Coturnix japonica: one gene and its partner. The protein of the gene in region 2 purifies or fractionates together with the protein of the main gene of each other region. This does not show direct contact. Links are inferred from orthologs where the notes say so. Each region holds a gene or a part of one and is shown on either strand. Other genes may lie near its edges.

Region 1 (6,398 bases), about 510 kb from region 2:
GAACATTGAGACAGCGAACAGGAATAATAATAAAACCCGTCTGGCTATGCTAACACCGTGTAAAACTGTGGAAAGTGCATTAACACTGGATGAAACAAGCTAATGATGGCGATAATTAAACGGCCACAAAAATGATGGGTGTGTAATGTATTAAACGAGGTGGGAAAGGGGAGAGGAAGGGCTCTCCTCTGTTCCTAGCGCTGGTGTGAGGGCCAGCGCCTCCCGGGAAGGGGATAACCTTGTTTTCAGTCCATAGCTCCGCTGGTACGCGACGAAGAGACCTTAAATTAAATAAGCATGTCATCCACACGTAGGCGAGAATGCCTGAGGAACGAGAACCTTCAGTAACAGATGGGAAGGAAAAAAATCCAACTGGCTGTGACCTCTTGTAACGTTATATTACATCCCAAGACAGGTAACACTTGGAAAAAAATAAAGGGGGGTTTGTGGGGAGTCTGTCCCGACCCCGGGCTGCAGCTGGGCCGGGTGCGGGGTGCGGCTGTCCAAGCCGGAGGTTTGTTTTGCAAGTATCAAAAGGATGATCCGAGAGAGCAAACAGTCCTCTTGTTGCTTAGAGATTCTCTTAGTGTGTTGCTACTTCACAGCAGTATTGTCCTTCAAAGCCTTTTTAATTAAAAAAAAAAAAAAAAAAAAAAAAAAAGCCTTAAACCTCTACTCGCTTCTTCATCTCCGTATTGGGAAAGTATTGCCACATACCTGTAAACTTACATGAGATTATAGTAGAGCGGGGCGGGGGGCGGAAAGCACAACGAGTAGTTTACAAGCTCACCCATTTTTCTCCTTTTCAATGACACCCTGCGGGGTGCGGGGGATATGTACAGCGCGGGGGGGAGAGGGGGGTGCGGGACGGGGACAGCGCACGGCCATCGGGAAGTAACAGTCCTGTGCACGGCGTGCGCCCCGAGGCAGCGAGCTACGAGGTGTTGAGCACGGGTCTGGAGTACACCCCCTGGTAGTAGGAGGGCTCCAGCGCCGAGGGCTCGATGCTGCCGCGGGCCGCCATGGAGCCGCCGCCCAAGGGCAGCCCGCCGGGGATGGCGGCCCCGTACGAGGAGTACTGCAGCGCCTGCTCGTAGGCTTTGAAGTCCAGCTTGTGCTGCTGCTCTGAGGAGGACATGAGGTTGTTGATGGAGAACGGGTGGTTGAAGGAGTAGTGGGGGTCCCCTTTGAGGTGCAGCTGGGGTTCGTGGGCCAGGGAGTGCGGGGGGTGCGGGACGGAGGCCAGGGCGGGCACGGAGCCGAGCGAGGAGGCGGCGGCCGGGGCCGAGGGCTTCAGTTCGGCGCTAGGGCCGCTGTGGTCCATGGGCTGGGGGCTGGCGGCCGGGTTGGGGCCTGGCAGGGGGGCGGTGGCGTCGGGCGGCGCCGCTTTGCCGTGGGCGCGGGGCAAGGGAGAGCCGGAGCCCGAGGCGGACGTCTGGTCCTTTCGGCCCTCCGACGGGGCTTTGCCCCCCGCCGGCTTCTCGCACTTGAAGCGCTTCTGTCGGCGGAGATAGCTGCCGTTCTCGAACATGTTGTCGGAGTCGGGGTCCAGCGTCCAGTAGCTGCCCTTGCCCGGCTTGTCGGGGTCGCGGGGCACCTTGACGAAGCAGTCGTTGAGGGAGAGGTTGTGGCGGATGCTGTTCTGCCAGCCCTGCTTGTTCTCCCGGTAGAAGGGGAAGCGGTCCATGATGAACTGGTAGATCTCGCTGAGGGTCAGCTTCTTCTCGGGCGCCTGCTGGATGGCCATGGTGATGAGCGCGATGTAGGAGTAGGGCGGCTTGGCGTGCGGATAGCTCCGCTTGAAGCTCTTGGCGTCCCGCGTGCGGCCGAGGTTGGACTGCGAGTAGGCCATGGGGCTGACGCAGGGGTTCATGCCGCCGTAGGGACCCAGCACGTTCATGGCGGCCGGCTGCCCCGACATGGCGCCCAGCCCTCCGGGGCTCAGCGCCGCGCCCATGGCCGCCACGCCGGCCGCCATCCCGTTCACTGCGCCCGCAGAGCCCGCCGGCATGGCGGCCACCGCGCCGGGGCTCAGCCCGGCTCCCAGCCCCGTGTTGGCGTAGGACATGTTGAAGGAGCCGGAGGTCATGTTGCCGCTGGTCGTCATGGTGTTCATACTCATGTAGGTGTTCATGGTGTTCATGGAGCCCAGCCCCGAGTTCATGTTGCTCACGGGCACCGAGGAATAGGCCTAGGGCAGCGAGACGAGAGAGGGTTAGCATGGAGCCCTGCACCGCGGAGCCTCCGAACCCGCCCAGGACGATCGCCGAGAGCCCGAATCCTCATGACGGGAACGGGTAGAGGCTGCTCGGTGACGCCGAGCCCAGCCTCAGCACCGCGGGCCCCTGGCTCGGCCGCCCCGAGTGCTTCGGGGCTCTGCGGGCTCCGAGCCCCGTGTTTGAATCCGTCCGATTACTGCGATCTACGGGCGCACGCCGGTGTGCTAGGGAAAACTTTCCCGGAATAACCGCACGCAGCTCTCCCTCCTCGCTGATGTATATTTCTGTTCCTACAGATAATGTCTTGTCACAAATCAAAATTAAAATATTAGAAAAAAAATCAGCAGCTCCCGTCTGCACATCGTACCTGTGGAAAGCTGCCCCTGTTCGCATTTCCTAACGAGTCAGGCTTAAAGTTCAAACCCACCATCCCAACCTTTACGATGCGCGCGGAGCCCCAGCTCCCACTGCACGGAATTCTCTGTAGCCCCCAACAATCGGGGTATTGCAGCCCGATCCCTCCTCACCGCTCTCACCAAATGCAGAACCTGGAGCCCCAAAATGTGCGTTTCGGGTTCACATCTGATTTCACGTGAGGGAGAAGGGCTCAGAGAAACTCGTACCCGTTCACCTCGAACAAAGGCAACGAGGCCGAGGAAAGGTTGTTAGGTGCGGGTTAAGTGCACTATAACATTCCCCATTATTCCCTACAAATTCCGCGAGCTTCTCAATGCGCTTTGAATTTAGAGGATCTCAGAAACTATCGGAGAGGGCTCCCACCTCACACTCAAATAGCGATTCCAGTTCAATAACACGGGAGGAGAAAAGAGTGGGGTTAAGAAAACAGCAAAAGGGCAGGTCGTGTAACTTTAGGTTCGTGGACAACGAGCGTGGAGAGGAAAAACGAGCGCGGCACTGACGCCCCTCGGGGATGCCCCCCTTTGCTCTGAGCTCTCCCCGCTGAGGGGGTGGCAGCGAGGTGACAGTGGTGTGGCAATGGGGTGGCCGTGGGGTGACACAGAGCTGCGCGGCCCTGCGGGAATGGGGACTGTGCCGTGTCCGGGTGCGCTGATGCAATGCCGGTGTGCACCTCGCGGCTCCCTCACTTCCTTAAAACGGCTCCTGCCAGGGCACCGCTCCCGCTTCTTCCGCGGTGGTGCCCCGCTGCCTTCCCCGCGGACCCCCGCAGAGGCCAAGCTATACCGGGGCCTGGATCACGGCGCTCCCCGGCCCTCTCCTAACGGCCTTCGGGCCGCTCATCACACCACGCCGGAGCACGGGGGGGCCCGGAAGAGGCTGCCGGCTGCCGCGGGTCGGCGGCTGGCGGCCGGGCCGGGCCCCCTCCGAGTTCCCCGGCCTCTCTCTGCAGCGCCGCCCGCCGGCATCTGAACAGCAGCGCCCACCGCGGGCGGGCTGTCTCGCAAAATCCGAACAAACGGCGATTTATTCTTTTTTTTTTTTCTTCCTTTCTTTTCTCTCGGCTCTAACAGGTGAGGCCCAGGCGGCAGCTAGCAGCGTGGGGCCCCAAGGAATGGGAGGGGGGGGCGTGGGGAGCGCGGAGCCCTCGGCCCGGCGCGCCCTGTGCCCGTGCCATATGCCGGGAGGAGCGGGACGGCAACGCGGCGGTCCCCTGCTCCGAGCCAGGAGTTCTTCGGGGTGAGCTCAGCGCTTCCCCCGGCCCCTCCGGTTCTCCTGCGGGCGGTGCGGAGCTCCTCGGGGTTGCTTGGCCGAGGAGAGACACGATGGCGCTGGCGGGAGACGCAGCGCGAAGCTGATCCCCCCTCTCGCTGCCCCTCTCTGCACCCCGGCCCTCCCCCAGCCCCCTCTTCTCCCTCTCGGAGGGACAGCGGACCCGAGGCTCGCTCACCTCCTGCGTGTCGGCGTAGTAGCTGTTCCAGTCGCTGGTCTCATGCCCTTCCATTTTCACAGTCCCTAACATTATGGAACCAACCTGCCCGGTGTAACCATCCAGCCCTCTTGCAAGCGAGCGACGGGTGGCAGGAAAAGAGCCCGAGAGGCCGACCTAGCAGGAAGCCAGCTCCCAGGAGGGGCGGGAGTGCCGAAATCTCCTCTATAATGAAGTCAAAAAGGAGGCAGGGAGCGGTGCGGGGCGAGACAGTCGAGAAAGTGAGGAAGTGCCGGCTGGGATGTGAGTGGAGTTGAGCTGATGTGGATCTTACGTCGCACAAAGTACCCTCCTCCTCCTCTCCCCATTTGTCCGCCGCACAAAGGCGTTCGCACCTACAAAGCCGGAGATGCACCTGCCAGCGAGGCAGCTCCCCTCGCCTGCGGCTCCCCTCGGGGCGGCACTTTATTTGCAAAGCGGCGTAATTGGTTTAAGCTTGCGGGGAAAGAAGGAGAGACGGAGGTGGGAGAGAGGAGGGAGGAAGCCCCCCCCCCCCCTCATAGACGGACAGGACAAGCTTTAGGAGGGCTCACTGGAAATGAAATGAGGTAGATAAGGAAAGGGCAGCCCCCTCTGTTTGAATAGAATGCTAAAGGCCATCCAGCCCTAAAACCCCGAGATTAGGGGCCATATTTACTGAAGTCCAGTAGATGCTCCTCTAACAGAATGGCCGGGAAATCCTCGCACGCTCCCCCTGTTCCTCCCGTCAAGGTACCGGCGCTCGATCCAGATCCCTAAGCCCTCAACCCCGCGGTGCCCTCCACCCGGGACTGTGACGGTGATGGTGATGATGATGATACCTCTTTCTTGGTGTCTTACTTTTAGGAATCATGAGTCACCGTGGTGAGCTGTAACACTCTAGACACCCAATAAATGCGGACAGAGACTTGAATGCGGATCCACCGAGGTCAGCCTCTGCCTGACAAACACCAGGTGAGTCACTGGAACAATTTTATTTCTTTCCTGGCGAAAGCCTCCAGGCCAGAAGGCTGTTTGAGAGCCTTGGGGAGCCTTCTCTGGGGCCGGGCACCATTGCCTTCTTCCCAGCTTTTCTCATGGAAGAAAGAGAATCCTCAAAGGCTGGAGGGCGAAAAGGGGCTACAGAGACAAGGTAAATGGACACTGGACGAAGCTCTTTAAAGTATGGATGCAGGGAACCTCAGTCTTCACAGGTGGATCTAACATGCTCTCATTCTGTCCCTGCCCGGCTCTTCGAGCTTATGCGAAGACCGCCGACAGTTCCTGGGTTTCTCGCCTTGTGCTTTTTCCTTCCCAGAGACTTTTATCATCTGATAGTGGGGGGAGGGGGGGAAGTAAACAAACCCGGAAACAAAAATAAAACACACACACACACACACGCCAACATAGCAAAGCAGAAAACCCAAAACTCAAGTAGCTGTTCGTGGAATGGCAATTTGAAGGGGAAATAAAGGTTGTTGGGATTTTTGACAAACTTAGGTGTACTATATGACACAAAATACAATGCCTGGATCCGAATTTCTTCTTGGCATGTTTATCACCCGGTGAGATACACACCAATGTGTCCTCCAGGGCTCTGTGAGGACGTCCCCACCTCAAAACCGCTTTTTAAGAAGTTTATCAAACAGAGACGCAGGACCGAAATTCAAAGTTACAGGTTATCTCCTCCTCGAGGGCAGTGTTTTAATTTGTCCTCTAAGTGAGTTTCCTTTTTCTGCTCTCCCTTTCTTTGTTCTTTCTCCCCTGTCGCCTTTTTTATTTTCTTTTTTTTTTTTTTCTTTTTTTTTTCTTTAAATTTGGGAACAGAATTAAATCAAATCCCTGAAACAGATGCAAACCTGGAATCATCCAGCGAGAAAAAGGGATGAGAATGTGTCTTCAAGGAAACAAAATTAAAAAGATAAAAGCATTGAGTAAAACTCATCCTCTCAAGTGGCCAAACTACACAAATGGAAATTGGAACAAAATCCAGAGGAAAATCAAACAGATGCTCAAACTGTTGTCTTTATGTATGCACCCTCTCCCTTTCCCTAATGGAAACAGTCTGAACACGGAGACCCTTCGGTACCGGCTCTCTCAGCTCCGGTGCTCCGGCTCCGTTCAAAGCCTCCCAAAATGAGGGAGGGCTCCGGCATCCCGCTGCTCGCCGCACGGTGACCTCGGGGCGGTGCTGCCGCTTCCCAGCATGGCCCCACGGGAGCAACGCCCGGAGGGACGCGAGCAGCCCGCGCAGGGCTCGCCGTGTGCCGGGAGGGGAACAGGCACGGACCCCACGGGCGGCACGTAGCTCGGCA
Region 2 (4,815 bases):
GAAACGCGCTGCGGTGTTGGTGGCACCGTTTCCATTGGGATTGGCACCGTTTGATTGACAAAGTCTCACATTCTTCCACCTCTCGAGTGTTATCAAACGGATTGTGTGGGGTCAGAAGCTATTGAAGGGACGTCCGTGTAGCCGCGTTCTGCAAACACGGGGTGAAGACCATGCCTTTTTCATGAAAATGCTTCCACCAGGCAAAACGCGGTTCATCTTCCCTGCTCTCCTCCTTAGCATTTCCTTTTACCTCGAGCGAGTCCCTAAGCTGCAGCATCAGGTAAACGAACATAGCTCCAGAGGCAGCCCAAGCAGGGACCTGCCGAGCGCTGCTCTCCCTCCCCTACCTCCCTCCCTCGCCGCCCCGGGTTGGGGAGCGCGGACACAAATCCGGCAGTGGGGGCTGAGAGGAGAGGGGTGGATTCCGAAAGGGCGGCAGAGGGGAGCAGCCGAGGCTCGACTGGCCCCGCAGAGCTACTTGGGGCGGTAAGGAGGATCGGGGGCTGCCCTGCTCCATCTCACTGGATGGATCCGGAGGGGCTGAAAACTGCAGGTGGGATCTTGCGGGGTGCAGAACCTCAGTATCCACAGACAGCGGTCAGCCCACTAAAAGATCTTCACCCCGCTGCTCTCTCTCTAATTCCCCTCCTCCAGCCCCCGAGCAGGGTCAGGGCCGGACTCGTTCGGCTCCATTTCACCAAGCAGCGTTTCGGGGGCTGCCCGAGCGCACCCCATAGAAGCGGCTGTGCCCGGGATGGTGCAGTATGGGCAGCCACCAGCCCAACCCCGGCTCCGCGGGTTATGGGGCACCGCCGTGCTACCTCCCGAGATTGATGTGATGGTGGATCCTTCGGTATTATTTTTTCCTCTATCCTCACCCTCCTGTTCTTAAAGGCCAATAAAGCAGGCACGGAGGTGATGGGCGAGGAATCCGAGGGAAACAGAAACAAACAAAACCCCACAAGGTGAGATCTCTTTTCAGGAGCAAACCCCAAGATCTTACTGAAAAATGCGCACAGAAAGGGGGATGGGGGGAGAAGAGACGCGGGAGTGGGAGGTAAGGGGAAATAAATACCCCAGGGATCTGGAAGGAAGTGATCCAAAGGTCCGGAGAGGAAAGAGGCCGAATTCAGAGAAGCCGCCCCCAGCCTGAAACTGCCCTTGTGCCCGCGGGACCCGACGGACCCCCAAGAGCCCACCCTGGGGCTGGGGGGATCCAAGCGGGGCCAGAAGGGCCGAGGGCCTGACGGAAGGAAAGTCCCCCGGTTTATGTGTGTGGAAAAGCTCACCTCTCGCGGAGCTGTAAAGTGTAATCAAGGCTGAGGCTTACACTTGAAGGATGTTAACTCTCATACGGGAACCTACTTTCTCCTAAACGGTTTCTTGCCTACTGAATGAGAGCCTCCCAATTGAGGCAAAATGATCCTTATGCGCTAATATCTAGCGTAGTCACAAAGCGACCGGCTATTTACGCTGCCACTTTAGACAAAGATATTTAGTTATTCCCGGGTAGCAAGTGCACTTTTGCATTTTTAAGCACGAACCAGCCGAGCACCAATATATTTACAAGTGCAATTACTAAATAGTTACTTGACACTTCAAAGTCACTGGGTTAACTGTACCTTCGCTGTAATTTCCTTAATATTCAGGTAATCGCTTTATTAAACGACTTTCCCAGGGCTATCGGCCGGGGTGTGAATTGCTCAGTGGAGGTTCCTCCCTTCCTCCCGAAGCGCACCGAGGTACGCGCGTGGGGACCAGAAGCTGTGACGGGCTACTCGCCGCGTGTGTGTGCGCGGAGATGGGAGTGGGTTCTCTTTTGTTCTTACGCAGGATCCCACAACTGATCCGAAAATGGCAGAAATTGAGGTTTTTTCTAAGTGGCAGGAGTTCGTTAGCAAGGTGGTGCGGCAAATGACCCGAGAGGTCTTCTTCATGCAGCTCCCGCGCTGTATAAATAACCTTAGGGAGCAGCTTCGGGTTCAGAGGGACCTCGGGAGCCTGGGGCAGCCTTTGCCTTTGGGAATAACGAGAGACGCTTTGCTTTATGCTGTTTCAGTAGTGTGTCTCTCGGAGCAATGTAATTGCTGCTCGTTTATGTAAACTTGCATCTTCCACCTCTCTCTGAGGTTTAAAAAAAAAAAAAAAAAAAAAAAAAAAAAAGACAAGAAAGCCTTAGGTAAATGGAACTTGTGGCTTCAGGGAGAGAAACGATCCTCGCACAGGGGGTCTCACACCGAGGGTCTTAGGGGGTACAGAAAGGTGCCTGGGATACCAGGTGCCACGGGGCGCCTAAGCAGCGGGAGGTGTTGCGGATCGCTGGCTGCGGAGCCCCTCCGGGCAGATCTGGGGGGCAGAGGAGGGTCGCTCCTAGTGCCCAGCGGCAGCAGTCCCGTGCCCGCAGCTCTCCCGACTGCTGCCTGCCAGCCTTCCCACCCGCGGCTGATATGAAATCCTTCCACACAGGCAGACGGGGGCTTTAGGCATTGCTCTCCATTACCCGTCCACAATATTGTAACCCCCGAGAAAAATAAAATGAGTTCTGCGCACGGGGTCTCTCTCTCTTTCCATCTCCCTGCCGCTCTCTCTCTCTCTCTCTCTTTTTTAAGACATTAAAAAAAAAAAAAAAAATCCTGACAAGTAAAACTTAAAGGTGTTTACCTTGTCATCAGCATGTAAGCTAATTATCTTGGGCAAGATGTAGGCTTCTATTGTCTTGTTGCTTTAGTGCCTATGCCCCGCCTCTGGTGGCAGCCTAAAACCTGGCGTCTGGCTAAAACAAACGAAAGGCAGCCCTGAGCCTCCACTCAATCCAATTAAGGCGGACTTCGTCCACTCGGTTACGTGTACATCCAACAAGATCGGCGTTAAGGCAACACCAGAATATTTGGCAAAAAAAAAAAAAAAAAAAAAAAGATTTGCCTCCCCTTCTTTTTTTTTTTTTTTTTTTTTTTTTTTTTTTTTTTTTTTTTTCTCCCTCCCCAGCCGCCGAATCATGTCGATGAGCCCAAAGCATACGACTCCTTTCTCAGTGTCTGACATCTTGAGTCCTTTGGAGGAAAGCTACAAGAAAGTGGGCATGGAGGGCAGTAACTTGGGGGCTCCCTTGTCAGCCTACAGACAGTCTCAGGTTTCGCAGCCGGCCATGCAGCAACACCCCATGGGCCACAACGGAACGGTGACTGCCGCCTACCATATGACAGCGGCAGGGGTCCCCCAGCTCTCCCACGCTACTATGGGGGGCTACTGCAATGGGAACCTGGGCAACATGAGCGAGCTCCCGCCTTACCAGGACACCATGCGGAACAGCGCTTCAGCGACAGGATGGTACGGCACCAACCCGGACCCCCGCTTCTCTTCAAGTAAGTGAGCCCGGGGCCGGCTGTCCACTGGGGGGTGGCTGCGTCCCTCTCTGCCCCTCCGCCCCGCGGTCGTCGGGGGCAAAAGTCGGCGCGGACCCCGCTCGCTCCCCTCCGCCTCTTTCATCCTTCTACCGGAGGATCGGGCCCCGTCCCCCCTCTCCGGGCTTTTCGCGGCAGCTCCCGGGGCGGCAGGCGGGAGGGGGGAGCCGGCAGCCGCGCATCGGCGTGGAACACAGCCCCAGGGAAGCCGGCACTGCCCGGCCCCCAGCGCTCCGCTCGACCCCGGCAGGACGAAGGGAAGCGGAGCCGCTGGAGCCGTGAACGAGCTGGGGGAACGGGAGAGCCCGGCTCGGCGGAGCCCCCGGCCGCGGGAGCCGTCGGCTGCAGGGACCGTGCGGCGGCACGCCTGCGGTGCGAGGGGCGAGCGGGGCCGGGCCGGGAGAGAGGGGGTCCCGCGGGCGGCGGGGGAACGAGAGAGGCGGCGGCTGCGGGAGCGGGGGCAGCGCGGGGCCGAAACGAGCCGCTGACAGCGCGCCCCTTCTGCCTTGCAGTCTCCCGCTTCATGGCGCCGTCATCGGGCATGAACATGGGCGGCATGGGCGGCCTGAGCTCCCTGGGGGACGTGAGCAAGAGCATGGCCCCGCTGCAGAGCACGCCGCGGAGGAAACGGAGGGTCCTGTTTTCCCAGGCCCAAGTTTACGAGCTGGAGAGAAGTTTCAAGCAGCAGAAATACCTCTCCGCTCCCGAGAGGGAACATTTAGCCAGCATGATCCACCTCACCCCGACTCAGGTCAAAATCTGGTTCCAGAACCACCGCTACAAGATGAAGCGGCAGGCCAAAGACAAGGCTGCGCAGCAGCAGATGCAACAGGAGAACGGCTCCTGCCAGCAGCAGCAGTCCCCCAGGAGGGTGGCGGTGCCGGTGCTGGTGAAGGATGGCAAGCCCTGCCAGGCGGGCTCCAACACCCCCACCGCAGCCATCCAGAACCACCCGCAGCAGGCGGCCACGACCATCACGGTAGCCACCAATGGCAACAGCCTCGGACAGCATCAGAGCCATCAGACAAACAGTGCGGGGCAGTCTCCCGACATGGGACAGCACTCGGCCAGCCCTTCCTCCCTGCAGAGCCAAGTCTCCAGTTTGTCTCACCTGAACTCTTCCACTTCTGACTATGGCACTGCCATGTCCTGCTCCACCTTACTATACGGTAGGACCTGGTGAAAGGATTAAAGAAAGCGAAACAAAACAGAACAAAACGAAACGAAACGAAACAAAACAAAAAGGAGAAAAAGAAAAAAGCAAATTTTCCCAGTCACGCAAATCTCTGTCCTGTCCAAAGTACTGGGTGCTTCTTCCTTTGCTCTTTTATTGTTTTTTTTTTTTCTTTTTTTCTTTTTTTCATTTTTTACATTTTTTTTTCTTTTTTCCCTAAAGCATTTTTTCGCCCCCCCG

Evidence for each region. The genes of interacting proteins can lie anywhere in the genome.
Region 1: the proteins of NKX2-1 (region 2) and FOXA1 purify together in Homo sapiens (affinity purification with western blotting; 3 studies listed by BioGRID and IntAct, with this or other methods). This does not show direct contact. The link is inferred for Coturnix japonica from reciprocal best matches to the Homo sapiens genes NKX2-1 and FOXA1.

The regions. Positions count from the first base shown.
Region 1 is NC_029520.1:33,707,391-33,713,788, forward strand, and holds the start of FOXA1 (hepatocyte nuclear factor 3-alpha), read right to left. Parts: upstream 4,389-6,398; 5' UTR 4,159-4,388; coding exon 4,087-4,158; intron 2,192-4,086; coding exon 935-2,191; 3' UTR 1-934. UniProt on the Homo sapiens protein: Transcription factor that is involved in embryonic development, establishment of tissue-specific gene expression and regulation of gene expression in differentiated tissues.
Region 2 is NC_029520.1:33,196,824-33,201,638, reverse strand, and holds part of NKX2-1 (homeobox protein Nkx-2.1), read left to right. Parts: exon of another isoform or gene 1-1,742; intron 1,743-2,985; coding exon 2,986-3,362; intron 3,363-3,913; coding exon 3,914-4,584; 3' UTR 4,585-4,815. UniProt on the Homo sapiens protein: Transcription factor that binds and activates the promoter of thyroid specific genes such as thyroglobulin, thyroperoxidase, and thyrotropin receptor. Crucial in the maintenance of the thyroid differentiation phenotype.